Caenorhabditis elegans: one gene and its partners. The protein of the gene in region 4 interacts with the protein of the main gene of each other region in a pairwise test. Each region holds a gene or a part of one and is shown on either strand. Other genes may lie near its edges.

Region 1 (6,756 bases), on a different chromosome or scaffold from region 4:
CTCGACTATTATCCACAAGACTCTCCAACCAACACACCTGAAGCTGTGATATTTGTTAAGATTTCTTCAAAATTTCGGAATTTTCGAGATTTTTCACTACGAAATTCGGATTCCCCGCATTTTTTTACACTTTCTTGTAAATTTTCAGAGTTCTAGCTCAAAATTGCGTAAGATTCGGTGTATTGGGTTACTGTAGTCGGTGATTGCGTACTTTTGGGGCTACTGTAACCCGGAAATTTTGAAAAATGAGCTAGAACCACAGACAACCGATTTCAGAGCTAAAAATAGATAGGAAAATCGAATTCGGTGATGAAAATCAAGAATTTCGAATAAAACAGCGGAAAACTCGTGTTTTAACACATTTCTCGGCGATTTCACTACGAAATTCGGATTTCCAGCTATTTTTTACTTCTAGCAGTGAATATTCAGAGCTCTAGCTCAAAATTGCGTAAGATTGGGTGTTTCTGGGTTACGGTAGTCGGTGTTTGCGTACTTCTGGGGCTACAGTAACTCGGAAGTTCTGAAAAATGAACTAGAATCCCGCAGAAAAAGTGTTAGAGGTGAAAATTTGCAGGAAAATCGAATTCGGTGATGAAAATCAAAGAATATCGAATTTGAACACTGAAAAATTGAATTTCTAGATATTCTGCTGAAATTGCAAATTTTTCATTAAGAAATTCGGATTTCCCGCATTATTTTACAACTAGCGATTTTCAGCAGAAATCTCTAATTTTTTTTGTAAAAATCCGAGCTTTTGGCTTAAAATCCAGTTTTGTAAACTATTTTGGCAAAAAAAAGGTGGTTTTTTGGGTGAAAAATTCGATTTTGAGTCATTTTCATAAGAAAACTTCACATTTTCCGAAAATATCAATTTTTGGCTAAAAAATCCGAATTTTGAATAATATTTGCATGACAAATGCTATTTTTGGGCAAAAAATTCAATCAATTTTCGGTATATTTTTTTAATGAAACATGTCATTTTTTTCGGTTAAAAATATGACTTTAGGTAATTTTTGTAATGAAATTTCCAATTTTTTCGGTTAAAAATCCTTTTTTTTGTCATTTTAGCCTGAAAAATGCTATTTTTTAAGTAAAAACCCCCGATTTTAGGTCAATTTTGGTGTGAAATTTTCAAATTTTTCGGTTATTTTTCGGAATCCCCGCATTTTTTTTCCACTACAACGTAAATTTTCAGAGCTGTAGCTCAAAATTGCGTGAAATCTGGTGTTTTGGGTTACTGTAGTCGGTGTTTGCGTACTTTCGGGGCTACCGTAACCCGGAAATTCTGAAACATGAGCTAGAAGCACAGAAAACCGATTTTAGAAGTGAAAATTTGCGGCAAAATCGAATTCGGTGATGAAAATCAAAGAATATCGACTCTAAAAGCATGAAAAATGTAATTTTTCGGGTAAAAATTCGATTTAGGTCATTTTTTGATGAAAAATTCAATTTTTCCGGTCAAAAACTATTTCTTCACATAAAAATCCCGATTATTGTTTATTTAGAAGTAAAAAAATGTCATTTTTGGGTGAAAAATTCAATTTTCGGTATATTTTTTTTCTTCATTCTTTTTGAAATTTTAGAATGAAAAAAAAAACCATTTTTGGGTGAAAAATCCTTTTTTGTAATTTCAGTATGAAAAATGTCATTTTTTTCGGTAAAAAATATGACTTTAGGTAATTTTTGTAATGAAATTTCCTTTTTTTTTTCGGTTAAAAATCCATTTTTTTGCCATTAGCCTGAAAAATGCTATTTTTTAGGTAAAAACCCCGATTTTAGGTCAATTTTTGTGTGAAATTTTCAAATTTTTCGGTTAAAAACTGCATTTCCACCGCACCTTTTTGCAAATTCTATTCTCCATATTCGAATAATACCAATTCAACACATAATGTGCAGTTTCGGCAGTTCTTCTCGACGTTTTCACATGATTTCCCTCTATTTCCACAAAAATTTTCTTCTTCGAGCTCGTCGATTTGCCACGATTCCACAAATAACTATCAATATAATAATCGGTATTTTTTAGTCCGTGACGGGGTTCAACAAGGAAATTCTGAGGCCCTTTACGTGTTTCATCGATTGTCAACGGGAATTCTTTCTGAACTTCATGTTCTTCGTAGCAACGGAAATAAAGGAAATGGGCAGCTTTGTTGGGAATTGAGAGATCCGAAGATTTGAGATTGAGAGTTTCTCCGGTGAATGAGGTGGCTGCGGCGACACGCTGCAAAACTTTTTTGAGACGGTTTTTGCTGGTTTTTTAGAGGATTTCTGTGCAAAAATTGGGGTTTTTTTTCTGTGATTTTAGACGCTTTCTGAAGGCTTTTCGCAGGTATTTGAAAGTGAGTTTTCGGAATTTTAGGGCATTATTTTGGCTCTTTTTAAGCAGCTTTTTACAGTGAATTTTCTGTGAAATTTCGGCTATTTCTGGTCGATTTTTGATCGTTTTCAGAGCATTTGAAACTTTACTTTGCCATTTTTAGTGGATTCTCGTTTTAGGTGTGGTTTTTGCTCATTTTCACAGGATTTTTCAAGTAAAAATCCTCATTTTTCAGGGTTTTTTTCGGTGAAAAAATGCCATTTTCCGCGATAAATCACCTGCATTGTGGTGACGAGGTGTTCGTCTTCATTTTGATACGGTACCTTTCTAGTCGGAGTCGGACGCCCTTGATATTTCATTGATGATATTGTAACCTCATTTGCAACCGAAAAATCACTGTTTAAGACCATTTGAGCGTCGATTTTCTCGCGTTTCAAAGCCATTTCCATTTCAATTTCCATTGTTTGAGTGTCCATGTGATCGTCGAGCACTGACGCGTCTGGAAATTGAGAATTTTTGAGATTTTAGGGGTTTTTCAATTAAAATTTGGCCTTTTTCGGGAAGTTTTAGCTTCAAAAATGACATTTTTTGGGAATTTTCTAAATGAAATTTTAATTTTTTGGGGAATTTTTAGGTTGAAAATTGGATTTTTTGGGTTTTTTCGAAGTGAAATTCGAATTTTTAGAGTTTTTAGCTTGAAAATTAAAATTTTCGGGATTTTTTGAGTGAAAATCTGATTTTTTAAGAGATTTTAGCTTGAAAATTAACATTTTCAGGTAAAAATCCGGGGTTTAAAGAATTTTTTGGCGAAAAATTGGTTTCTTAAATGAAAATCGAGTTTTAAGACAAATTTCATAGAAAACTGTAACATTTTCCGGTAGTAGCTTCTGATTTTCAGCCGAAAACTGAATTTTAAAGTAAAAACCTGAGTTCTAGGCAGTTTCTCCTTGAAAACGCGAGCATTTAGGTTAAATTTTAGAATTTTGAAGTGAAAAAATTACATTTTTTAGGTAAAAAATGAACGTTTTAATGGGAAATTGCAAATTTAGAGTCGACAATCGACTTTTCAGCACTTTTCCAATGAAAAAACACATTTTTTGATTAAAAACTGATTTTTTTAAAGCAAAATCGTAAATTTTGGTATTTTCCCCCTAAAAATCGCCAATTTTGCCTGATCATTGAGGATTTTCGCCAATTTTTCCGCGTAAAAATCGCATTTTCATGTAGAAAATCCAATTTTTACCGATTTCAGTGTTGGAAACATCGATTTCCTCCTCTAAAATCGGGCTTTGGTGGTGTTTCTGGTGAACTTGGAGCTCGTGCTCGCCTGGGGTCATATCTCGCTCCTGGTCGACTGAAAGTGGCTCTGGTGTCGTGGATTCTGGGACTTTTCTGAAAAAAAACGAGCAAATTTAGAGATTTTTAGGAGAATTGGAATAGAAACCCGAGATTTTTAAAGGTTTTTTCACTATTTATAGGTCTAAAGTGCTGAAAATTTTGATTTTTCTTTTATATTTTTGGATTTTTCTCGTCTACTCACGCCATTTGTGCAGAAATTGTAGATTTCGGTGTGAGTTGAGCTGTAGGAATAACTTTTTCGAAGACTTCATCTTGTTTGGCGGCGAGCAGCTTTGCGGACGGTGTACGAACTTTTCTCGTCTCCATTTCTGAAAAAAAATCGTTTGAAAATATGGTTTTTTCGCTGAAAAATAAAGAAAAAAGACTAAATTTGCCCAAAATTTGAGAAAAAATTTCGAAAAATAAATTACAGTACGCTTTAAAGGGACAGCAGTGAATTTCACCTTCGTGGCGAGACCCGTTGTGGCAAAAACAGCATGCGCCTTTAAAGTTTACGGTGCTTAATTGAAATTTTGAATTTGTTTTCGAAAACATTCAAATTTCGATCGAATTTTTCGGTTTTTTCGATTCAAAATCAATTTTCGCTTGATTTTCCTGAGAAAACTACGCATTTCCGACAAAATTCAAATAAAAAGAGCCGCGGGGGCCGTGAGAAAAAATGTGGCCGAAGAATACAAAAATTCGACGGGAATGGGACGACGGACGGGGCCGAATCAATTGTGTTTTCTCAGCCACAGATGTTCACGGTGAGTGAGGAGACGCAGTGAAGCGCGCGCGCACGCGACGCGCAACCGCGTCTCGAGTGTGCAAGGTGGGATTGGAGCGCGTTTGTGTGGATAGGGCTGTGTCGATTTACGGAGCGTCGTGGATTTTTTTTAAAGGGGATTTCCGGTTTTTGAGGAGGATTTTTGTGATTTTTTCCTAGTTATTGGTTAATTTCCAGCAAAAAATGAATTTTTTTACGTTAGATTGTAACGGAGAATTTTATAATTCTGCAAATTATAAATATTTATTATTGGTTTAAATTAATTTTTTATCCGAAAAAAAAAACCAAGAAAAAATGTTGAAAAATAAATTTTAATGAGTTTTTTGTATTTCGTTTCAAGACCTGCTGAAAAGTTAATCTTCATGTACCTTTAAACTTACAGTAAAATAGTTTTTACGGTTTTGAAGCCATTTATTAACAATTTTTCGTACGGAAATTCATTAAAAGTTTATATACTAATAATGAAACCCATTGTCATATTTTTTGGCAAACGTAACTCGCAAGTTTCAGTTAAGTTTCAAACTTTGTCAAAAATCAGCAAATAAATGTATTTCGTTGCGAGACCCAACACAGAATTTGCCTCTATGCACCTTTAAAAATTACAGTACGAAATTAATTAATTTCTTTCTCAATTTCAAGCCAAAATAACTCATTTTCCCTCATTTTTTTTTGCAGAAAAACGATGGAATACTGCAGTACAAAGCAAATTTCCACGTTTGTCCTCGCCCTAATCGGTTTTTCGATTCTCGTATTCTTCATCGAAGAGTACACGGAGGAAAGTGAGATGAACAGCGAAATGGAGATGAAAAAAGCGTTTTATAGTAAGATTTCCACCTAAAAACTTGGAAAAAAAGTTGAATTTTCAGAGACGGAACACGGCGGAACCACCGGAAAACTGGAAAAAGTGGTGACGGAATATCCAGCGGAAGAATGTTGGAAGCATGAGCCATTTGAAGTGGTCACCCAGTGTGCACCGTGCAAGGATTTCGAGATTAAGGCTATTAAAGCTGGTAGGGAGATAAAGAATTAGGAAAAATTCAGAAAAATCGCAATTTTTACCTTAAAAACCCGCAAAAAACGACTTTTTCACCAGAAAATCAAAAATTTATCCTATTTTTCCAGGTCATTGCCTAAAAACCGGCTATTTCGATCGTGTAAACTGCTCCAAATCGTCGACAACTGTGCTCCGCCCGTGTCCATCTCCAAAACAATCCCGCCGCCACGAGTTTTACCTGTTCTACGTGGTAAATGCCGCAATTCTCATCGTGAGCTTCTTGTCGACGACACAGCGGAAGGCTCAACTCGAACGGGCGGTCTACATGCGACTACCTCAACATTTCTAAATTTTTATCGATTTTTTTTGTAGATATATATATATATATATATATATTGATTGATTGATTTTTGTTGCGATTTTAAACGGGTTTTTATGTGAAAAAAACATGGGAAATGTGTAATAAACGGTGCGAATTTATTGAAAAAAAATTTTTTACGAAAAAAAAAAATTCATCGATTTTCTTGAATGCTTCTTTCACGTTCGGGGTAATGTACTGTAGTATTACTGTAGTTTAGAAAAAATTGGGTTTTTGTCTTTTTAAGAGATATTTGTTTAGGGTTAGTGGAGAGATATGGTCGGGATACTGTAGTAATACGGTAGGGGGTACTGTAGGATTTTCGGGAAAATTGAGTTTTTGTCTTTTGAAGAAGTATTGATCCAGAAACTTCTAGAATTTCCTAGAAAAACCTGGAAACTTCTACAACTTTCTAGAATAGGCTGAAAACTTCTCGACTTTCTTGAAAGTCAGCAAAACTCCAGGAAAATGTGTAACACGGGTTTCTGGCTTCCCTCATAAATTGAAATGGAAGAGTTTGCCGAACTAGGCCATTTTGGCTTGGCCATATCTGGGGTAGATTCACGGCGCGTCGCGTCTCGATTTTAAATGAAAAACTAAATGCAGGCGAGGCAATCGACTTCTGGAGCTGAAAACCTCTTTTTCTGAAACTACCGTAATCTTACAGTACTCCTACCGTGCCACTATTATACCACTACAGTAGCCCCAACTATGTATATCCCTACACTAACCCCAACTCACTATCCTTCCAGAAGCCAAAACTTCACAGACTACATAGTGTAAGGATTCCCACCCTTTTCACTTCACATTTTACATAAATAAATACTAATTTATTTGCCTGTAAATTCTCTCTGATAATTTACAGAAAGAACGGACGAAATCGGTCAAGGACAACGATTTCTACAGCGAGGACAATTCGTGTGGAGGAGAAACTCCAGTTCAAACCGCCGCCAAGATGTCGTTGG
Region 2 (5,618 bases), on a different chromosome or scaffold from region 4:
GACATCAGCAGCAACAACAAAAAGATTGTTGTTGGAGGAGTCATTGGAGTCTAAAATATTTATGTTGTGATCTCTTACCTATTTGTATTATTTCAATAAACAATCCTAGCTTTATTAAAATTTTATTTTAAAAAATACTGAAATATACCATATAACATACCAGATATATACCAGAAATTAAAATGAATGATCAGTAAAATTTTAATTGTGTCTTTTCGCATGACGATTTCACTTTATTTCTGAAGATTTTTGTGGAAATCGTTTCTATAAATATAATTTTGAAAAGTAAACATTTAAAAAGTTAAAATAGCCGTGGCATAAATGCTAATTGGCAGTGATTTCCTGTCCCTCACTAGGGAACGGTCAGAAGGTGCCCATCGGACTTGCATATGAGACCTATGCCATTCGATAGCCCATGTCTTAAAACAGTTACTCGTGAATTTTTAGCGGCAAAACTCCCGAACCAAGCTCACGGCGGGCTCTCAAAGATCTTAAAATAGCACTGTAAGGAAGAACTTTAACGATCTAACGAAGCAATTTTCCAATTTCACTTTGGTAGCTCATATCTCCGTAGATAAATTTTTTACAGAAAAGTCATCAACTGATAAGTTGTTGATTTTGTTGTAACAAACAAGTTTGTAATTAAAAGTTTTTTACCACAAAATTTTTGTTTGAGATAAAAGTGCGTGAAGTGCGGCAACTGGTGTTGTTATTTTTATGCTGCTATTCCGTTTCTAATGATTTTCTCGCAAACAAAAATTTTTTGGTAAAAAACTTTCAACTACAAACTTGTTCTTTACAACAATATCAACAACTTTTTAGTTGATGACTTTTCTGTAAAAAATTTATCTACGGAGATATGAGCTACCAAAGTGAAATTCGAAAATTGCTTCGTTAGATCGTTAAAGTTCTTCCTTACAGTGCTATTTTAAGATCTTTGAGAGCCCGCCGTGAGCTTGGTTCTGGAGTTTTGCCGCTAAAAATTCACGAGCAACCGTTTTAAGACATGCACTATCGAATGGCATTGGTCTCATATGCAAGTCCGATGGGCAGCTTCTGACGGTTCCCTAGTCAGCCGTGACTCCAGTTTATCTGAGAGGGTATAGGATAGAATATATTCAATATTACCCGCGTGGAAGGCTTGTTGAACTCAACGTAATTTGAAAAAAAGAAATCATTTGTTCAAAATAATTAAATCTGAAAATTAACATACGAAGATGTTTTTGCACTTTTTAAGTTGCATTGACACCTAACGATAATATGCATTTAATCGCTTTTTACGCATTAATATCAATGTGTTTAACTTTCGTGACTTTTAGACTTTTTCTCTCCTTCAAGAAAATTCTTCTGCCGGCAAAATGATAACAGATGATAACAATTTTATTTGGGAAGAGATCATAAAACCGATAATAAGTTTAATAAATTAGTTTCCGACAAATCCTCCGACAACAATCTTTTCACCATCTGCCATATTGACTTCAGTCTTTGGAGCAGCAGCTGGAATTCCAACAGCATACACGTCACGATTCACAACCAAATTACAAACTGTTTCAACTTGAGCATACTGCTTCACTGAAGCCTTCTTGAATGGGCCGAAAGCACGGAAATCAGCAAAAGTTGGCTTTGTCTCTCCAGAAGTACCACCTCCAAGAACATTCCAATACCAGAGCATGACATTAGAATTGATATTCGCCGAATTTCCAGTAATCTGGCTCCAGTCATATTGGTTTGTGTAAATTCCAACAGAGAGACCATATTGTTGAGCACGGGAAATTATGCTGTTGATAAAGTTGACGTTGGCAGTTGGATTGTTTGGCCAGTTGGCAGGGGAAGTAACCTGGAAAATTTGTAGTTTAGGGAAATAATTATTTAAATATTATGTTCGATTTTCTGAAAGATAAGAAATACACAAACTCGTGAATGCTTGTGAATTGAGAGGAAGTAATGATAAAATACTTTTGAGAAAATTCATAAATAGAGGAGCAACTCTCTATGAAACTGAAACTATAGTAGTACCAGCCTCAAAATGAACTTGAGGGAAATTCTAAATTTAAACTGTGTCTGAACTACTAACCTGAATCCAGACTGATCGGATAGTGATTCCATTATTGTTGAGTCCGTTATAAAGAAGATCAAGTTGTTGGTATCCTTGCCAGCTTGATATTGGCTGAGGAGTCATGTATGTCTCAATTCCCAATCCAGCTGAATAAGCATTTCTGATATTTCCAACACAATTTGAATCAAAAGCTCCATTTCCAGTTGGAACAAATCCACGGAGGAATACAACTTGATATTTTGCTTTCTTCAAACAATTCATTACTTGGACATTTGTTGGAAAGGAAAAATCGACAGCATTTCCCATTGAAGCGTCATTGTTAACAATTACTGGAGCTTCATTTGCTTCGGTATTTGCAATCGCAGCTTGGTTCGAGTCGATTTCTTGTGGTCTCGCAGAAGAGAGAACAAATAGGATAGTAAAAGAAACTAGAAGCTTGATCATTTTACTGATCTATTTCAGTGAAGATAAAAATTGTGGTTTTCCTATCAGTTTATATACAAGACGATGAGCTCTTTTCAGTGCACAAAATGACGAATCTCTCTGAAATAAGATGGGTTTCTTAGTCAGTTGAAAATGTCAACAGTGGTTTGGCTTCATTTTCTGAATTAATGAATGATAATTGATAAGAAGGCAAGAATACCAGTGCAGACTCTCTGTTGTCAATTAAAGTGATGTGATGAAAAAGAGGCCAAAGATAGAGAAAGAAACTTTCTACATGTTCCTTTACACAACATCGTCAGTGAGGATATTTCTCGAAGTTTTAGAACAAAGAGAACAACAGAGAGATGCTTTTTGAAATTCGGGTTTAAAAATGAGAAATTGTAAATAAATTTCAATGGATCCCCAAATTATACGAAATCTAGTGATCCCACCTCAAATGTTGTATTCAGAAAATTTGAAAGTGATTTCAAAAAATTAGTTTCCAGCCGCTGCAACATGGATAAGTTGGACAAATTTCAAATGTTAACTATTTGTAGGTAATTTTTGTTTTCAATATAAAGTTGCATTATGAAATTCGGTGTTTTCAGACAATTTCGAGTCTAATAAAGCAATAAAAATTTCGGCGACACCATTATTAATAACAAGTGTATTTTTGTGTGTTGATAATTTTATCGTTAAAAAGGTTATCGACAATCACATCGGAAATATTTATTTTGTATTATGCTTTCTGGTATCAAAGATTTAGTCGACAATTCTCATTCCTTGGATTCTCAAAATCCGATTCCACCAACACGAATCAATTTCTTCTCCGAACTCGAATTTTCTTGATGAGTTGAGAAGTGTACAATTTGAGACAAGTGTTGGTTTCCGGTGGAATACACATTTCGGTTTACAATCATTCCACAAAGTTTTTCAACTTGTCCAAATTGTTTCACAGTGGCCTGTCTCCATGGTCCAAATGGACGGAAATCTTCAAGAGTTGGAGTAGTTTCACCATCAGTACCCATACTCAGAACATGCCAGTACCACAAGAAAACATCAGAACTAAACGTGTTCCAGCCTCCTGTGATTTCCAACCAATCATAAAATGAAGTGTAGATTCCAACTGACAAGCCCAGATTCTGAAAGTAATAAAGTGAATAAGAAGTTGTTCTTTGTGATCATGATCCATGCTTCGAAAATTAAAACTTCTAAACAGTGTGAGTCAGAAAATGTACATTCCGCTTCAGCAAACAATATTCGTGTATGTGATCAACTTAAATATAATCGTCCTATAAACGTCTCAGGCGTGCCCCACGTTCAGAGGCGAATTTCGCGGAAATTGTTTTACTGTTGTTTTCCATGCATCAGGAGCTTCAGTTTGTCTCGCTAATGTTTGGTAACATACCTTCGCACTTCTAATCATATCTTGGATAAACTCAATTCTCACAGCCATTGGTGCAACCCAATTTGTTGGAGAAGTTACTTGAATCCAGATAGATCTAACATTAATTCCATTAGCAAGCAAATTCTGGTAGACCAGACTAATTTGGTCTGCTCCAGACCTTGTTGAGTTGATGTTTGGAGTGATGTAAACTTCACTTCCAAGTCCAGCTGAAAAAAAAACAAAATGATAATAATAGGATTATTTTGTTTATTTAGTCAATCTTACCTTCAAATGCATTGTTGATTGTATTCAAGGCATTTCGATCAAAATAAGTATTTCCAATTGGATTCAAAGCTCTGACAAATACAGATTTATAACCTTGATCTCTCAAACAATCCATGTCACTCGGAGTTGTGTGAAATGAAATGTCAACTGAATATGCATGAGTTGGGGAGTTTCGTTCATCATATGGAATTGCTGGAGCATCTTTCACTTCAGGAATATTATAATCTGGGTCAATCACTTGTTCAGAAACTTTCTGCAGCAATCCAAATGGTTCTGATACATTCGTTTGAAGAGGAGCTGGGAAAGAGTAGCACAATGTAATAGAGACTAGAAGAGCGAAAAGTTTCATTTTCCGAAATGATAATATTGAACTCAAGAAAGCATTTATACTCGTTTTGATGTCGCTGGTTGAGTAATCAAGTAATAAAGTTGTATTTTTAGTTGAATGTGGGCAGACTCAGAAAACAAGCATTGATAACAATGGGGTTGAGTCACTCAAAAAATACAGAACGTGAAATCGAAAAAGGAGCTTGTGAATGAAAATAGATGAAACAATACTCTATTAAAAAATTAGGATTTTTTCGAAGTTTGGGTAAGTATTTTAAATAGTTGCTTTGTAGTTTTCTTAGGATCCAAAAAAATTCCCTGCATTTTATTGACGAAGTTACTTACTTAGTTTTTATTACCTCTCCTCTCGGATTTGGTTGTCAGTTCAAACAGAAGATTCTCCAACAACGGTTTCAGTGATAGAATCCCAACAGTAGCAAAAACGTTCAGCCGAGAGGATTGGGTTTCTTTCGAAGATGTACAAATGGCTGAATATGTTTGTACTTACTTCAAATCCAAGTTTGTCTGTGAATGGTGATTGAGCATAGTTCATTTCCCAAAAGGCTTAACTAATAGAAAAGCGTTTTGGCTGTAGTGAGGGGGCGTCCTGACTGAGGAGAATTAGAGAATCAATAGTTATGAGCTACAGTGCTCCACATAATGATACGGTCACCGCCAAATTTTGGTATAACTCAAAACTGGGTTGAGATAGCAAAACATAGTTTCTTGTGAAAATGTTCGCTGTACTGGCTAACTTTCAGATAAGTATTGGAAATATACCTGAACCGTTCGTAAAAAAAGATAAACCATTTTTTGATGAAAAACCATATAAAAAATCCACAAAATGATACGGCCACCCTTGGTTTTTGTTTTCTTTTTTCGTTTTTTTTGCAATTTTTTTTGCTAAACGTTAGGTTTCATGTTCGTTTGTGTTTTTACAGCTATGGGTCGTGGAATAACTTTAACTGACTACGAAAAAGGACAAATTGTGCAAAATTATCTCAAGGCTTCTCGTCAGATTTTTCGTGATTTGAAACGTTCAAGAGATATGATCATTCGATATGCTTCCAATCCTGCTGCTTATTGCACCAAAAAGCCTTTTGGTCGCCCACCACTCCTTTCTGGTAGAGACAAGCGAAA
Region 3 (9,791 bases), about 12 Mb from region 4:
TGCCGATTTGCCGATTTGACGGAAAAAATCGTTTGCCGCCCACCCCTGCAATGCACCATGTTTAAAATGTTCCTTCTTTCTTCTAACGGGGGCATTAATTAAAATTCGATATAATTTTTATGTAACAAGGAATGTTCAAGGAAGGTAACAAGGAAGGAATGTTCCAGAGACATTGCAAAACACATAACTGCGCGGAAACAGCAATATGAACGTCCAAAGTTGTGGAAACACCAAATAAATGATTTTGTAAAATAGAGAGAGAAAAAAAATTTCCAAAAAAATGTTTTTTTTTTAAGTTAAAAAATTTTACTCTATAGATAATCGACCCAATTTCTCTTTGATTTTTGATTAATAATTCATAAAATCGAAATCAAGAAACAAAACTATGGCTTAATTCGAATTTTTCAATATGGTAGTTAAAAACGAAAAAATTGTGATAATCACAACTCTAAGAAATTTCAGTTATAAAAATCCGTTGTACCCCTTGAAAATTGGATGTACCCTTGGAACATAGTGCCGATGTACCCTATGAAAATCCCATGAATGTACCCTCTGAACAAACCGGTGGATGTACCCTGAGAATGATTGTACCCTTTGCTCGAATGTACCCCAAGAACAAAAAAATGGCTCGATGTACCCTATTTCGATGTACCCTCGGATCATGGGCCCAAAATTACACACGAAAATAGCCCAAATTTCTACAACCCTTGTAAATCGGATAATATTGCTAATTATTGGTGTACTAATTAACCCATGCCCTAACAAATTAAAATGTTTTAATTTTTCTGAATTAAAAAAAATTAGACTTTTTTTTACAACGGACTCTTCTAAAATGATTATTTTGTAGCTAGAGGACTCTAAATTGATCTCCAAACTCTAAAAATTGCTCTTTTTCAATTTCCAGTAATTTCAAACGATGGCTGAAAAATTGGGCAAAAATAAAAACTGCCGAAATTTGTTGAAAACGGTTAATTCATATATGCTGAATTCAGAAAATCTAAGTTTAATCCATCAAAAACTATAAAAAAGTGGCAAAAATTGGGCAATTTTTGGTAAAAATTACAATCTTGAAACTCCTCTAAAATGGTTAATTTTGTAGCTAGAGGACTCTAAATTTATCTCCGAACCCTAAAAAAAATGTCCTTTATTAGAATTTAATAGTTTCGTTCAATTTCAGAATAATCTTTTTTTGCCCAAAAAAAGGACAGTCATTAGATGGCTGAAAAAACGATTTGGGCAAAAATAAAACATCGGCTAAATTTGTTGAAAACGGGTAATTCATATATGCTGAATTCAGAAAATCTAGGTTTAACCCATCAAAAACTATTAAAAAGTGGCAAAAACGGGCCATATTTATTGCACACTTTGTTATTTTGGTCACGTTGCACCATGTTCAAAATTTTCTGGAGTATTTTCAAAAATTTGGATTTTTAATAATTATGGCACTTATGGCACTTTTCAATAGTATTTGAAAAGTTAAACATAGATTTTCTGATCCTCCCCCTTCTTCGTAGGCACGAAAATGCCTATCTACCTGCCTACAAGGCCTTTTTCGTCGACTTTATTTTTATGAGTCTTAGACGATCTCAATTTCACTTCCGCATTTTCTTTCGCATTTCCTGTAAATGTTCATACTTTTCTTTGCAATAAAATGTAATTGGTGAGAGCATTCTTTATTAAATCTGATTCTTGGGGGCTCTTTTAGAACAAATTGTGTTCGAATAATGGGTACTGTATATATAAAAACTCTGTTTTAATGTGGTGGTGGGATGAGAAAAAAAAATATAAAAGCTCAAAATTGGTGCTCAAAATAGTAGGCGACGGAGTTGTCGAATGGTGGTGCTGGCGCTGGAGTTGAGCTACGTGGCAAACGATGAGCTGGTGGTCTTTCCTGGAAAATTTTTATTTTATTAGGGGAAAAGGATGAAGTTTTCTTAATATCCCAAAAAGAATGATTTAAAGAATATTTCGGATTGCTTCATTAGACTCAAAATTGTCTGAAAACTACCGAATTTCATAATGAAACTTTTTGAAAACTTCTCAAAAAAAAGTTATGACGGCTCAAAAAATGGCCTAAAATTAGTTAAAATTTGAAATTTGACCGACTTGTCAAGCGGCTGGAAACTATTTTTTTTTTTTGAAGTCACCGTCAAATTTTGAGTATACAATTTAATTATCTTGCGTTTTCAACTCGAATCTCGCCGTTTTTGGTTTAAAAATATAAAAATCTCGCCGTCCATCGACTTTAAAATACCTAAATCTAGTTGAAAATGCAAGATAATTATATTTTATACTCAAAATTTGACGGTAATTTCAAAAAAAAAGTTAGTTTCCAACCGCTTGACAAGTCGGTCAAATTTCAAATTTTAACTAATTTTAGGCCATTTTTTGAGCCGTCATAACTTTTTTTTGAGAAGTTTTCAAGAAGTTTCATTATAAAATTCAGTGTTTTCAGACAATTTCGAATCTAATTAAGTAATTTAGTAAATTCGACTACACCACTTTTAATAAAACTTTGTTAATTTTTCCAAATATTTTTGAAAAAAAAACCAAAAGGCGAAATTTTTAGTTTTTAGAAAATTTTTTTTATAAGTTTCAATTTTTTTTCTAAAATTCGTACTGAAAATTAGATTTTAGTTGAAATTTTTAATAATTGTTTTTATTTCGAAAAATTCCATAAAATTTCTTAAAAAATTACCAAAATGTTGAGTATATTTGGAGTAGAATTTGAAAGAAAAAAAACTATTTTAAAAATACAAAATTTGAGCAAAAAATGCGAATAATTTTCTCAATTTTAAATTTTAAAACTAATTATAAAAATTAGAGTTGACAAAAAAAAACTGATATTCAAATGTTTCTCCGACAAATTATTAGTTTTTGTTGAAAATTTTTATTTCAAAAACTGTAAATTCCAGATTTTTTTTTCTGGCAAAAAATCACTTAGGCTTTACATATTAAAATTGATTAAAAATTTTTGCAAGTCGGTCAAATTTCAAATTTTAACTAATTTTAGGACATTTTTCGAGCCGTCAGAAGTTTTTTTTTGAGAAGTTGGAGTTTTCAAGAAGTTTCATTATAAAATTCGGTGTTTTCAGACAATTTTGAGTCTAATAAAATTTTAAAAAAATAATAAAAAAATTCGACTACACCACCTTTAAAGGTTTTCGAAATTTCAGAATTTAAATTTTCGGAATAAAAAGTTTAGTTTTTGTATTTTCAAAAAAATTGAAAAAGCGGCCCCGATCTTCAACGCACCATCTCCCTGTCCAGCTCATCATTCCATCGCAAAACGTGCTCGGCGAGCTTCTCAATCTTAGCGGTCTTGCCTCTCAGCTGATGCACGAACGCATCATAAACCTTCTTCTGATTGTACGTATCACCAAGCTCACGGAATTTATCCATCGACAAATCGTGGCTCCCATTCCATCCGGCCCATCGCTCCATAGTCGCGTTAAGCTGCTCACGAAAATCGCGTTGCACTTTGTGCAAATTGTCCTGCAAGCCGACTATCCGCCGCTGATTCTCCTGGCGTTGCATTTCGACGCGAAGAGGCTGCAGACTGATCGACACGTGGTTCTTTTTGATGTGATCTCTGAGGAGACACGTCGAACACAACGCGTACTGATTCAGAATTACTCCTTGCTCGATGAGTTCAGTGGGATGAGCATCCTTGATGATTGGGGAGCATGTAGTGCAAATATTGGTGCTGAAAATTGGGGAAATTAATTAAAATCTGAATTTTCACAGTTTCACGGCTCGCGCGCGGCACCTCACGAACTCCAGAATTTGCGGGAATTCGTTTCGCGCGGGGACAGCAGTTTTTTTGCTATTTTTGGCTTCTATGAAAATTTTTTTTGATTTTTTGATTTATAATATTCTTGAGAAGCATTATCCGAATTGAAAATGTATAAAATTATGAAATTTGACCGAAAACTGGAGGTTTTACAGAAAGGAGTTCTACACTTTTCTTTAAAAATGCATCAATACCGCCAGTTTTTTGATTTCAGAGTCGTAAAGTATGTCATTTTGTAGAGAAAAGTCTGTTTCACAAAAATCCATGTTTGAAATTCTGATTATTCAATTTATAATATAAAAATATTCAAAAAATCAACAATTTTACATTAAAATCTTTTTTCTTTTTTTCGATTTTCCAGGTTTTAATAAAAACAATTTCAAAATTTCAAACATGGATTTTTGTGAAACAGACTTTTCTCTACAAAATGACATACGACTCTGAAATCGAAAAACTGACGGTACTGATACATTTTTAAAGAAAAGTGTAGAACTCCTTACTGTAAAACCTTCAGTTTTCGCTCAAATTTCATAATTTTACACATTTTCAATTCGGAGGATGCTTCTCAAGAATATTATAGATCAAAAAATCAAAAAAGCTTGAGCTTCACAGAAGACGAAGAGCTGCGTGGGCAGCTTTTACCAACATCAAAAGCACCACGGACCAGATCACCTGCCCACGCCTCCGTGCAAATCTCTTCGACTCTACGGTTCTCCCAGCCCTGACCTACGGCTCTGAAGCTTGGACTTTCACAAAAGAGCTAGTGGAAAGAGTCAGAGTAACCCATGCAGCCCTCGAACGAAAGTTAGTTGGACTCACCTTGACAGAACAACGCGAACGAAACATTCATCGCGAAGAAGTTCGAGAAAAGTCAAAACTCAGAGATCCACTAATACACATAAAAAAGAGGAAACTTGGATGGGCTGGACACGTGGCGAGACGAACGGATGGCCGATGGACAACTCTGATGAACGATTGGTGCCCCCGAGACGAGAAACGACCCGTTGGACGCCCACCGATGAGATGGAATGACTCTTTAAGAAAAGAAGTCACTACGCGAGACGCCTTCGGGCAAGTCAAACAACTATGGTCCACCCAAGCAAAGGACCGAAAAGCTTGGAAAGCTGTGATCCGCGCCGCAGGCGAAGAACGGATCGACTAAGTATCCTAAGTAAGTAAGTAAAGTATGTCATTTTGTAGAGAAAAGTCTGTTTCACAAAAATCCATGTTTGAAATTCTGATTATTCAATTTATAATATAAAAATATTCAAAAAATCAACAATTTTACATTAAAATCTTTTTTTTTTTTTTGATTTTTCAGGTTTTAATAAAAACAATTTTCAATTTTCAAACATGGATTTTTGTGAAACAGACTTTTCTCTACAAAATGGCATACTTTACGACTCTGAAATCAAAAAACTGGCGGTATTGATGCATTTTTAAAGAAAAGTATAGAACTCCTTACTGTAAAACCTTCAGTTTTCGCTCAAATTTCATAATTTTTCACATTTTCAATTCGAAGGATGCTTCTCAAGAATATTATAGATCAAAAAATCAAAAATAATTTCCGTAGAAGCCAAAAATAACAAAAAACTGCTGTCCCGCGCTAAACAAATTCCCGCAAATTCTGGAGTTCGTGAGGTGCCGCGTGAGCCGTGAGGCCGTGAGTTTCCAACGCACTCTTTCTCGTGATAAACGCCATTACAGCCGACACACGCGAGGAATGAAATATTATGATCGGCTTCTCCACGCATCGAATCCATCAATTCGATTAGCTGGTAGTTGGATCGAATGTAGTTGCGTGGAGTCTGGGTGACTGCCTGAAATTCAGCAAAATTCATTAAAAATTTTATTTTAATCTTCAAGGTGGAGTAGCGCCAGTGGAGAAATTGCTTTAAAACACGTCTATGGGGTCATAATGACCGAATATCATGATTAAAAAATTCAAATAAATTTTCCTGATTTTATATGATTTTTTGAAAATTGAAAAAATCTCAGTTTTTGCATAATTCCTATTTGAATTTCCGCCAATTGGATTTGTTCGTTGGGGCACTTGCACGTTTTAAAATTTAATTATTTTATTTATTCTTATTTTCCACCGATTTTTAATGTTTTCGGTGTATTTTTGCTCGAATTTTAGAGAAAAAGTCAAAATAAATGCAAATTTTCGATTAAAAAGCACACTGACAGGCGTAAATCAGTGAAATTAATTAATTCAGGTTCGAAATCGTTTAAAAGCGTTACTTTCTCATTTTTACGCCTGTAATCGTGTTTTTTAATCGAAAATCTGCATTTATTTTGGCTTTTTCTCTAAAATTCAAGCAAAAATACACCGAAAACATTAAAAATCGGTGAAAAATAAGAATAAATAAAAAAAAAAATTTTTAAACGTGCAAGTGCGCCCCACCGAAAAAATCCAATTGGCGGAAATTCAAATAGGAATTAGGCAAAAACTGAGATTTTTTCAATTTTCAAAAGATCATATAAAATCTAGAAAATTTTTTTGAATTTTTTAAATCAAGATATTCGGTCATTGTGACCCCATAGGCGTGTTTTAAAGCAATTTCCGCACTGAGCGGAGTCCACCTTTAATTAATTGATAACACATACCCTGCAAACTGGACATCTAATGTGCACAAACGAGCGGTCGATCGGCGGCCGATTGTGGTTGATTCGGCTCTGCTCGTCGAGCAAACCGATGCATCTCTCGCAGACCGTGTGGGCACATTGCAGGATTTTCGGAAGATGTTGTCCTTCGTCTGGAATATTGATTTTTTCAAAGATGTTTATGAAAAAATTGGAGGAAAATTGTGTTTTCGGTTAAGAAACCTGTATTCTAAGGGAAAAATCCATAAAAACGCTGAAAAATTCACTAATTTTCAAGATTTTCAATTAAAATTCGAGAAAACCAACTGAAAATTCGCTTTGTAAATTTACGCTAAACAACGCGCACGGGTGTAAGATCGGAGTGTCGTTGGTATTTAAAAAATTTAAAAAATTTCGCAATTTAATTTTCTTGATTTTTCGCTCAAATATCAAGCTTTTTAAGTATTTAAAAATGTGAAAATCGATAAAACACCTAAAAATTTGCAAGAAAATAGCCAAACACTGACGAAAAAAGCCGTTAAGCCAACAAAAACTCACTAACCAAATGGCTCAAGACATATCCGGCACGACGGGGTGCTGATATAAGTCTTCACGTCGGTGCTGCTTTTGAAACTGTACATTTTTGTCCACAGAGAACAGGAATAGGAGACGGAATGAGCGGAAATCGAACGGAAAACTCAAAGAAACAGAGTCTCTGCACCCAAAATTGGAAATTTGGCGCCGAAAAGTAGATAGTAGATCAACATCTGAGATGGTAGATCAAAAATTTGCGAGCCTAGATAAATTCGATTTTGACAGAAAAATAGGGAATTTTGTTATTTTTACAGTTAAAATTGAGATTAGGCCTAGGCTTGGCGTCAGTGGCGAGCGTTAGCTCGCCATTTAGGGTTAGGATTACAGCGTTTTTTTCATTTTTCAAAGGGTTCCCGTTGGCCGATCAAAGCGAAATTTAACACAGAGACGTATAAGCCACTAAGAAGCTTCCGTGTAAAATTTCAAATTGATTCCATCAAAACTCGCCGAGTTATGGAGCTTAAGGTGTTTACAAAATGACCCTCAACTATTTTTTTAAATTTGAAAGTTTGGCGTTTTGTCAGTTTTCTCCCTAAGCTCACGAAAATTTAATGACAGCAGGAAGGACGCAGGATAAGGTTTCTTGAGAATTTTGAGCCAATTTCGATTTACAGGAGCCGAGATATTAAGCTTGTAAATCTGAAAAAAGTTCGAGTCCGGGTGCGGGCGTCTAAATTTTTTTATGCCCTGTTTTTCGTTCACTCTGAAAACGCGCGTGTAACTTGACGGTGGGTGGATGGATTTTGATGCGGTTTTTTGCTCTCTCTTCAAGAAGCTTGCCCCACCTCTGTATGCTTTATTTCAGAAAGATTGGAGCTCTTTGAGCCGAGATATGAAGAGTATTTTCGAGTATCCTCCAAAAATCTTTGGTTCCAAGGTGAAATTGTTGTATAAAAAGATCGTAGGTACATTTTAAAGTAAAAATTATTCCGAAAAAGTGATTTTTTCATTTTGAAAATCGAGGCAGAAAAAAAATTTTTGATTTTTTTTCCAAAAACTTTTTTTTTCCCTTCTCGTAGGATGGCGGTCGTTTGAGATATTTTGATTTTGAGGAAAACAAATGAAATTACAAATATTTCTAAAGCGATAGAGCAAACAAATTTCGAAAATTGAGTGAAAACTCACTGAGATAACCGACCTTGAAGCAAGTTACTGCCGTTTTTGCGTTGTTCATTTTTCAACTTTGAGCGTTTATTATTCACTCAATCTGAGATCAATTTCAATTTTGTTTTTTTATATAGATTCAAAATTTGACGCTAAATCCGAAAAACTAAGTTTCAAAAAAATTTTAGTGAAAATTTTTTTCAGCACCGCCAAAAAATCGAGTTTTTCAGCACTGATTTTTTCGAATTTTTGCGATTTTTCACTCATTTTTTGATGAATCTTTGTTTTCTTTTTTGTGTTCAATGAACAATATTTATGAAAAATGAAATCTACTAACAATTTGTGAAAAATTTATTTTTGAAAAAATTTTGTGCCAGTTTGAAATTTTTTCAAAAAATTAATTTTTTGCCTCTTGCCCAGAAAAAGTGGTTTGGTCTGGTGTTTCAACAATAATATTTTTGAAATTCTCACACCTTTTTTCATATCCCCTCAAATTTTTGTAACCCAATTCTCTCTTTGAAGGGAGATACAGGCGGGAGATACAGTTCGTTGAAGGGCTGCCAACACATCGCCACCCCACCCACAGAGAGACACACATTTACGACCCAATATATTCAAATATTACCTCCTGCTCTCAGTTTTCAAGATTTTATGATGATTTTTACTTCATCAGAAAGAACACATTATCTTTCCTATTTGCAGGGATAGAGGAAGACAAAAAAAAACAATATGGATTTAAAATCAGGGCTTCGCCCCGATTTTAATAAAATATATGAAACCCTCTTAAAAAGTTACAAGAAGGTTTTTCCTTGCGCTTGGAGCGCAAAAGAAAAGAAAAAGAGCTATTTAGACTTGGGATGCCCAACTGGAATAAAATATAGGAAATCCTTATGACACACTTAAGCCTAAGGGCCCGGAAAAAAAACTAGGATGCCCAACTGGAATAAAATATTGGAAATCCTTATGACACACCGGCGGTATGGCGCGGCTTAAGCCTAAATAGCCACTTTTATCAAAATACATTTGAGCTCGCTTTGCGTTTTACAATAACTTCTCAGACTCAAAAGTAATCTGTGTATATTTTTCAGTAATCTAAATGAAAACTATAGATTACTGAGAAACTTGGAAATTTTGTAATATTTGAAGGGATGCGAGCAATCTCTACATATTTGCGATCAACCTTTGGAGATTTTTTTTCTTAGTGAAGTTATAGAATGCCAATATTCAAATTCCTATCTCATGGGAGGAAAAGTTCAAATTCTGTACCTGCGTATATTTTTTTATAACTCCGTTCTTCCCACAAGAAAGGCCTTCTTCCCATGAGACAGGAATTCAAATATCGGCAGTATTCATAGGTACAGAATTCGAACCTTTCTTTACATGAGATAGGAATTTTATATCAACCAAATTAAATCTCCAGTAAAGTGGGACCTTTGATGAATATAATCACTCTGATGATATCTAATTCCGATGATTAATCCATTTTTCTTTCTCTCACACTTATGAACTAAAAATGATTACTAAATTAAGGCGTGATATTCTAAGGTGTGATAACATATGATATTTATTTTTAAATTTAAATAAAGTTTTTTTTTTATTTTTGCTAAAGAACGAATAGTTTACAACCGCCTCGCTCAAATGTATTTTGATAAAAAGTGGCTATTTAGGCTTAAGCCGCGCCATACCGCCGGTGTGTCATAAGGATTTCCAATAT
Region 4 (8,074 bases):
CACTGACGCCAAGCCTAGGTCTCAGTCTAAACCCTTAGCCTAAGCCTAAGCCTGAGCCTAAGCATGAGCCTAAGCCTAAGCCAATGCCTTTGCGTAAGCCTAAGCCTAACCTTTTGCGTAAGCCTAAGCTAACGCTCCCCCACTGACGCCAAGCCTAGGTCTCAGTCTAAACCCTTAGCCTAAGCCTAAGCCTGAGCCTAAGCATGAGCCTAAGCCTAAGCCAATGCCTTTGCGTAAGCCTAAGCCTAACCTTTTGCGTAAGCCTAAGCTAACGCTCCCCCACTGACGCCAAGCCTAGGTCTCAGTCTAAACCCTTAGCCTAAGCCTAAGCCTGAGCCTAAGCATGAGCCTAAGCCTAAGCCAATGCCTTTGCGTAAGCCTAAGCCTAACCTTTTGCGTAAGCCTAAGCTAACGCTCCCCCACTGACGCCAAGCCTAGGTCTCAGTCTAAACCCTTAGCCTAAGCCTAAGCCTGAGCCTAAGCATGAGCCTAAGCCTAAGCCAATGCCTTTGCGTAAGCCTAAGCCTAAGCCTAAGCCTGGACCTAAGTGTAAGCCTAAGCCAAAACTTCTTCCTAAGCCTAAGCCTAAGCTTCTTCCTAAGCCTAAGCCTAAGCCTTAGAGACAGTGAGCAAAACGTGTTGTAAATTTTTTTACCATCGATTTTTGCCGGGAAATTCAAATTTTAAACAGTTTCGGGCCCTAATAGCCTAAAATCTATAAATTAAGAATTTAAAGACTTACAAATCCAAAGTATCCATACATTTTAGGGCTATTCGGCGGGATTTCGGAGGAAGTGATAATATTGGAAAAGGTAGAGCAGGCATTGGCGGGAGGAAATATTGGAGATATGGTGACCCCTTTGCAGGCCAATTTGGTTGTCAGGGAGTGTTCTTGTCTTCTCTGCGTAGTCTCTAATAAGACGGACAGGTGGGGGGGAAATATCGATTCTCTAAAGAAAAAAAAATTATGGTGCATCGACCCCCCAGTCCTTTGGCAGCCTTACCTCCGGAAAACTCTAAATTTAAAATTTTTTTTCAGGCCAAATTAGTTTTAAAAAGACACGAAATCATCTGAAGAAACTAAAATTTAAAAAAAAAATAGAATTTTTTTTTTCTAAACATTTTCCAAAAAAATGCCCGAATGGCGCAGTGGGATTTCCGCCGGCTACCAATCACGAGACCGGGGTTCGAGTCCGCGCTGTGACAACTATTTTTTATTTTGCATGTTTTGTGAGTTTTAGGTAATTTTGAGCAATTTAAAACGGAAAAATCTAGAAATTTAGAAGGAAAAGTTTTTAAAAAGTCGAATTTATCAATTTTCTAGTTTTTTTTGCTTCTAAAAATTTCCAAACCGATATATTTATTTTTTCTGTGGCTAAACAACACCCCTAGAGGCCTAACATAACAAAATTTTCTGAGCAATTTTAAAAAAATTGTCCGAATGGCGCAGTGGGATTTCCGCCGGCTACCAATCAAGAGACCGGGGTTCGAGTCCGCGGCGTGGCGAATATTTTCAATTTTTTGCCAATTTGATGTGATTTTTAGCAATTTAAAACCTCAAAACCTAGAAATTTAGAACAAAAAGTTTTTGAAAGTTGGGTTTTGAGTCGAAATTATCAATTTTCTAGTTATTTTCTTCTAAAAACGATTTTTCCTATAGTTTAAGATAATAACAATCATCTAGAGGCTTATAAATCAGAAAAATCGAGTTTTAAGCTTTTCGAAAAAAAAAGTGTCCGAATGGCGCAGTGGGATTTTCGCCGGCTACCAATCACAAGACCGGGGTTCGAGTCCGCAATGTGGCAAAAATTTTTATTTTCTATTTGTAGTGGTTTTGAGATGAAATTTGTTATTTTAAAGCTCGAAATTTAAAAAATAAAATATTTTTTTATCCCAAAATTTCAATTTTCTAATTTTTTTAGGCGCCAATTTTTTTTTCCAAAAAATGAGCGATTTTCTATAGTTTTAAAAGAAAAAAAAAAGTGGATTTATTTACAATCAGTATCGAAAATCGAAGATCAATAAAAACAACGAGTTTTCAAAAAAAAGGGAGCTTAGATGAAAAAAAAAGATTAAAACCCGGTGACAACTGGGAGGTAATTCCTGGGTAAAAATAGTGAAAACCGGTCGAAAAACAAGTGAAAATGGGTAAAAAATGATGATTTAAGGCTTATTTAAGGCTTATTTCAGGCAAAAAACGTGGCATTGATAGCCCAATGATCAGATGGGAAGCACAAACAGGAACGGATGCGTTGGCGGCCTTCAAGTGTGAATTTGACTTTGTCCAGTGGTCCAGACCAGTATAGGCGGTCGAATCTGAAAATTTGAAGCTTTTTAGATTTTTTAAAAAATTGAAAAAAATCGATTTTTGTTTATTTTTTAAAAAATGATCGAATGGCTCAGTGCGCTTTTCGCCGTCTACCAATCACACGACCGGGGTTCGAGCCCCCGGTGTGGCAAAATATTTTTTATTTCTTTTTTATTTGTCTCTTCGCTTTTACCTCATCTTAGCGCCATGGAATCCCTGTTTATTGTCATTTTTGAAGGTGTCCCACGTGAATTTTGTCTTATTATCACTGCCGGCAGCCTCCCAGGCATCCTTAACACCGTCAGGCACACGGCTGACCTCCTCGTCTCGTAAGTTCAAATCGCCGCCGAAAAAGACGAGGGCGCCCGGGTTTTGAGCGATGATTTCACGGACTTTGTCCATGCAGAAGCCGAATTGAGCACAACGTTGCGGGCGGTGCTCACGTGTTGATTCGAGATGGGTGTTAAGTAGGAATACCTGCAAAAAACGAGAAAATTGGTTGAGGCTCAGGCTACAAACTACAAAAATTTGTTAAATTTGCCGAAAAGCGAATGATTTTAATAGAAATGTTCAGTTTTCTTTCAAAAAAATCAATTAAAACGAGGAAATTCTTCAGTTTTTTTTCGGGAAAGTGGTTGTGGCTCAGGTTACAAACTACAAACTCGGCTTAGCCTCACCAAACATTTCCGAAGCGAAATCTGATGAAAATACTCGAAATTTCCCTCATTTTTCTTCAAAAAAAGCTCCAAATTTTCAAAATTCTAGGGATTTCCCTCAAAAATCAGAAGAAAAACTGAAAGAATCAGGGTTTTAACCAGAATTCCGAAAAAAAAATTGGTTGAGGCTCAGGCTACAAACTACAAAATCGGCTTAGCCTCACCAAACATTTCCGGAGCGAAATCTGGTGAAAATACTCGAAATTTCCCACATTTTTTCTCAAAAAAGCTCAAATTTCCATAACATTTCATGTATTTCCGACAAAAATCATTGAAAAATTCAAAAAAATTACAAATAAAATTGATTGAAGCTCAGGCTACAAACTACACATTTGGTTAGCCTCACCAAAGTTTCAACGAATTTTTTTCGAACTCACACTACATACTGTGATTTTCAGCTAGAAATTGCAGAATTCTGATTGAAAAAAATCAATTATATCTCGAAAATCTTACAACAAAAAAGAGATTTTCAGGAAGACATAGGGATTTTCCGTAAAATTTGACCGAAAATTGATTTTAAAACCTGAAAATCTAGATTTTTTCAGTGGAAAATCCCATTTTCTGTAAAAATTTGAAGTTTTTTGCAAGAAAAACAAGAGGGAAAACATTTGAGGGGAAAAATTGGTTGAGGCCTACACTACAAACTACAAATGTGGTTAGCCTCAACCAATATACATTTTGCTCGATTTTAAGGTATTTTTTGCGGAAATTGATTGATTTTTACGGGAATTTTTATATTTTGTTTTGAAAAAATGGATTAAAATGCGAGAATTTTTCAAAAAATCTTTTTTTTCAGTAAAAAACTGAAAAATTCGATTATTGCGATAAAAATTGATTGAGGCTCAGGCTACAAATTACAAATTTGGGTAGCCTCAACCATCATTTTCACTCATTTTTAGCGGTTTTCCGGGATTTTTTCTTAAAATTTCGTCTATTTTCTGAAAAATTAACCTTCAAACCGCCAATAGATCCCTCCAAAATCTGCAAAGTTCTGTACATTCCAGAATTCTGAAAATGAATGACGTCATGCTTCTCGACGTCGAACATTTTCGACACAAGAATCGCCGTATAATATTGGCAGCCTTTGTTCGAATAATAGATTTTATACAGCGATTGAAGCTTATCAATCGGCGCCAAATCACGGTCGACGACTTCTTGGAGGAATAGGATGTCCGGATTGACGCTGAAATTTTTTTTTGGCGTTTCAGGTTGATTTTTGAAGATTTTTGACGGTTTTTAGTGATTTTTTTGCTGATTTTGCATCAAAATCAACTAAAAATTTGAAAATTCCGTGAAAAATCGCCGATTTTGCTCACTTTTTGACAATATGAGCCACTGCTTTCATTCTTGTGAGCAAGCTTCTCCCGTCGAGCCCATCAATGTTCCACGACATTACGCTGACTTCGAATCCCTGAAAAAATTTGAAATTTGTTGGAAAAATCGCGAAAAAAGTGAATTTTTTTTTGGTGAGGCTAAGCCGAGTTTGTAGTTTGTAGTCTTAGCCTCAACCAATTTTTTTTTCGGAATTCAGGTTAAAAGCGTGATTTTTTTCAGTTTTTCTAAAGATTTTCGAAGGAAATTCATGAAATTTTATGGAAATTTGAGCTTTTTTGAAGAAAAATGAGGGAAATTTCGAGTATTATGCTTCGGAAATGTTTGGTGAGGCTATACCGATTTTGTAGTTTGTAGTCTTAGCCTCAACCAATTTTTTTTCGGAATTCCGGTTGAAAGCGTGATTTTTTTTTAGTTTTTCTACTGATTTTTGAAGGAAATCTATGAAAATTTATGGAAATTTTAGTTTTTTTGATAAAAAATGAGGAAAATTTCAAGTATTTTCGCCAGATTTCGCTTTGGAAATTTTTGGTGAGGCTCGGCCGATTTTGTAGTTTGTAGCCTGAGCCTCAACCAATTTTTTTTTTCGGAATTCCGGTTGAAAAAGTGATTTTTTTCAAATTTTCAATGATTTCTGTGAAAAATCACTGAAATTTTACGGAAATTGCAGCATTTTTGAGGTTTTTTAACTCGAAAATCGATGTTTTTAGGTGGTTTGGCTTGATTTTGCTCCAAATATTCTTCTATTAACCTTCAAATCCTCTGCCGTCATCACCGCAGCTCCAGAGCTCGCCATAGACGATGAAGCGCCCATTACGGCCGCACTTCTGGCCTCTGCGAACGCCTCACTCCCGTAAAAAACGTCCAGAGCCTTCTTCAAATCCCAGTCTACATCCTGTAAAATCGACTGCGCAAAAGCCTCATCTGTGGCCGTGATTATTGCAAATTCATGCAGTTTTTGCTCGTCGCTCACTGAAAAATCGCGGATTTTCGCCTTAATTTATTGATTTTTCGGGTTTACTCGACGAATTTTTCAGTTTTCCTTGCTCCGGCTCATCTAGAATCTCGATTTCGACCTCGGAATCTTCTTGGGACACTGAAATATATTTTATTTGATTTAAAATTCAAATATTTTGAATTTCCAGCTGCAAAGCCTTACTTTTCTGTCGTTTAGCCTCAATTTCCTGTATTTCATCGTCAGAATTCGACATTTTTGAGCTGAAATTAGAGGATTTTATCATATTTTTTCAGAAAACGCGAAAAATCCACACGATAACTATTGAAATTCAAAAAATCGCGAAAAGAATAACTGAAAAGGCGGAGTCTAGCCGGGGGGCGTACCCTATTTGCAATCCTGGCACGCGTGTTGCAACTGCGGCGCACTTTTACCGAACGTGGAATTTTATATCGCGGATTTGGATCGTTTTTCTTCCCGTTATTTTCCCATTTTTCCTTGGTTTTCTTGCAGAAAATCCATAAAAATAGCAAGAAAAGTGAGTATTAGAGGTTAAAATCGATATTTTCACCATAAAAAAACCCCAGAAAACCGGCAAAAAACGATGAAAATCCGTGTGGAATTTTTTTAGACCTAGTTTCGCAATTTTTTCAATATTATCTTGAAGATTTTGATCTATTTTCGTGATCTTTACTTATTTTATGTGCCATATCCCGATTTTTATACCGAAAACCCGCGAAAATCTAGAGATTCCGATGGAATTGCTTTATTATATTACACGTGGAACTATTTTATTTCTTGATTTCTGCCGGTTTCTTGCTTTAAAATCTTAGAAAATAGCGTTTCAAGTGGGTTTTAGAGCCGAAAATTTAGATTTTCGATAGGAAAATCGCCTAAAAATCGATGAAACCATATTTTTGGCCTACTCCCGCTCTAATTTTGAAACTTTGATCTCGTTTAGGTCGAATTTCAACTAAAAAGTCGAATTTTCCTGTCAAAACACATGAAAATCCAAAATTTTCGTAAAAATATGAGCTCCGGATAAACTTGGGTGAGGCTGAGCCAATTTCGTAGTTTGTAGCCTGAGCCTCACCAAAATTCGGATTCTGTGTTTAATTCTTGATTTCTAGTTGATTTTCGCCGGTTTTTTTTTGCTTTTTTCTTTCTTTTTCTCCCGCAAAACCCAATTTTCCCTTTAAAAAACCCCCGTTTTTTCCAGATGGTGCATTCAAACGGAGCCATCACGAGCACAATTCTGAAGGCTCGTCACGCCGACGTCGTCCGCAAGACGTCACTTCACCACGCCAACGACTTGACACTCATCGATCTCGTGCTCAATGTGCAGCGGCTTTTGGCTCTCCCATCCGACGCGAATTTCGTGTTGAAGTACAAGGATGAAGGTAGGAATTGCACTGAAAATTGCGATTTTAATTCAATTTTTGTCAATTTTAGAAGGCGATTTGGTGACACTCGCCGAGGATAGCGACCTCCTGCTGGCTCTTCACACGTCTGGAGCCACGCTCGACGTGACCGTCGTTGTCGACTCGAGAGCTCGTGAGGCTGTGCACGATGTGCAGAAGCAAGTCGAGCAGATTAAGGTAAGGAGGATTTTGAGCGAAAAAAAACGATTTTTGAGCTGAAAAGCGCAATTTTGAGCGGGAAAATGCAAAATGTTGCAGAATTTTCATCGAAAATGCTGCATTTTTGAGCTTTTTAGACAAAAAAAAATCCGGAAAAACACTGAAAAATGTTGGTTGAGGCTAAGAAACAAGTGTAGTTTGTAGTGTGAGCCTCAACCAAACTAGCCAAAGCTTGAGTGAGGCTATGGTGATTTTGTAGTTTGTAGCTTTAGCCTCAACCAAATTAGCTAAAGCTTGAGTGAGGCTATGGTGATTTTGTAGTTTGTAGCTTTAGCCTCAACCAAATTAGCTAAAGCTTGAGTGAGGCTATGGTGATTTTGTAGTTTGTAGCTTTAGCCTCAACCAAATTAGCTAAAGCTTGAGTGAGGCTATGCAGCTTTTTTTTGTTTATAGTGTGAGCCTCAACCAATTTTGTTTTTAAAATTCACAAAATCTTTGGTTTTTCACTGAAAAATTGGAGAAATTTCAGCGTTTTCATTGATTTTTAAACAAAATTATCCAAATAATCGGTTTTTTTTTTCAATATTTTTAACACAAAATGGCTAAAAATTGGAATTTCTAGTACTACAGCTAGCGAAAAACGAATTTTAATTCAATTTTTCTTTCAGCTTGATGTTGGAAAGCTTCTTGGCGCTCTCAGTGCTCTCGACGTTGCCCAGATCGCCGAACAATCGAACACATCGGTGGCGAATCTCTCGGCTCCAAAACAATCTCACCACGACAATATTGTGTTCCAAAAGAGCTTCGAAGCGGCTCCACCATCGCCAGTGCCTTCCGAGAAGGCCGAGCTCCCGGCGACGATCCAACCGTCGGTTCACGAGCAATTCAATCATCGCCCGGCGCACGTTGAGGAGGAGATTCCGTTGGAGAATCACTATGCTCCACCACCACATCAGCAAATTCCCGATGATCTGAACACTAGCTTCAGCTCCCAGCCACCGCCACCAATTGAGCAATTCGGAGCGATTCCGCCACCGAACGCGACGATCCCGTCGTTCCCAACGTCGAATGCGGCGAGCCCACCAGTTCAGGAGTTTGCTCCACCGCCTCCACAGCAGCAGCAGCAACAATTCCAGGCTCCACCACCACCGATGGCGTCGCACTCTTCGATCTCGTCGACTCC

Evidence for each region.
Region 1: the proteins of tdpt-1 (region 4) and Y77E11A.7 interact in a two-hybrid assay, tested with the Caenorhabditis elegans proteins (one large-scale study listed by BioGRID).
Region 2: the proteins of tdpt-1 (region 4) and lys-2 interact in a two-hybrid assay, tested with the Caenorhabditis elegans proteins (one large-scale study listed by BioGRID).
Region 3: the proteins of tdpt-1 (region 4) and grif-1 interact in a two-hybrid assay, tested with the Caenorhabditis elegans proteins (one large-scale study listed by BioGRID).

Annotation. Positions count from the first base shown.
Region 1 is NC_003282.8:1,415,867-1,422,622, forward strand, and holds the start of Y77E11A.7 (Dynein heavy chain 1, axonemal), read right to left. Parts: upstream 3,980-6,756; coding exon 3,855-3,979; intron 3,707-3,854; coding exon 3,558-3,706; intron 2,814-3,557; coding exon 2,593-2,813; intron 2,219-2,592; coding exon 1,838-2,218; intron 44-1,837; coding exon 1-43. Other genes in the region: jtr-1 (Protein JTB), read left to right, coding at 5,122-5,260, 5,306-5,449, 5,562-5,782.
Region 2 is NC_003283.11:10,278,945-10,284,562, forward strand, and holds lys-2 (Lysozyme-like protein 2), read right to left. Parts: upstream 2,531-5,618; 5' UTR 2,501-2,530; coding exon 2,075-2,500; intron 1,838-2,074; coding exon 1,424-1,837; 3' UTR 1,363-1,423; downstream 1-1,362. Other genes in the region: lys-1 (Lysozyme-like protein 1), read left to right, coding at 1-54; lys-3 (Lysozyme-like protein 3), read right to left, coding at 3,271-3,621, 3,888-4,093, 4,152-4,500.
Region 3 is NC_003279.8:1,975,281-1,985,071, reverse strand, and holds grif-1 (RING-type domain-containing protein), read right to left. Parts: upstream 7,043-9,791; 5' UTR 7,021-7,042; coding exon 6,942-7,020; intron 6,553-6,941; coding exon 6,404-6,552; intron 5,614-6,403; coding exon 5,474-5,613; intron 3,707-5,473; coding exon 3,256-3,706; intron 1,892-3,255; coding exon 1,793-1,891; 3' UTR 1,660-1,792; downstream 1-1,659.
Region 4 is NC_003279.8:14,095,517-14,103,590, forward strand, and holds tdpt-1 (5'-tyrosyl-DNA phosphodiesterase), read right to left. Parts: upstream 5,575-8,074; 5' UTR 5,568-5,574; coding exon 5,516-5,567; intron 5,453-5,515; coding exon 5,378-5,452; intron 5,329-5,377; coding exon 5,108-5,328; intron 4,436-5,107; coding exon 4,341-4,435; intron 4,208-4,340; coding exon 3,976-4,207; intron 2,786-3,975; coding exon 2,502-2,785; intron 2,317-2,501; coding exon 2,187-2,316; 3' UTR 1,976-2,186; downstream 1-1,975. Other genes in the region: fbxb-100 (F-box associated domain-containing protein), read right to left, coding at 743-825; Protein tfg-1, read left to right, coding at 6,531-6,711, 6,764-6,909, 7,560-8,074.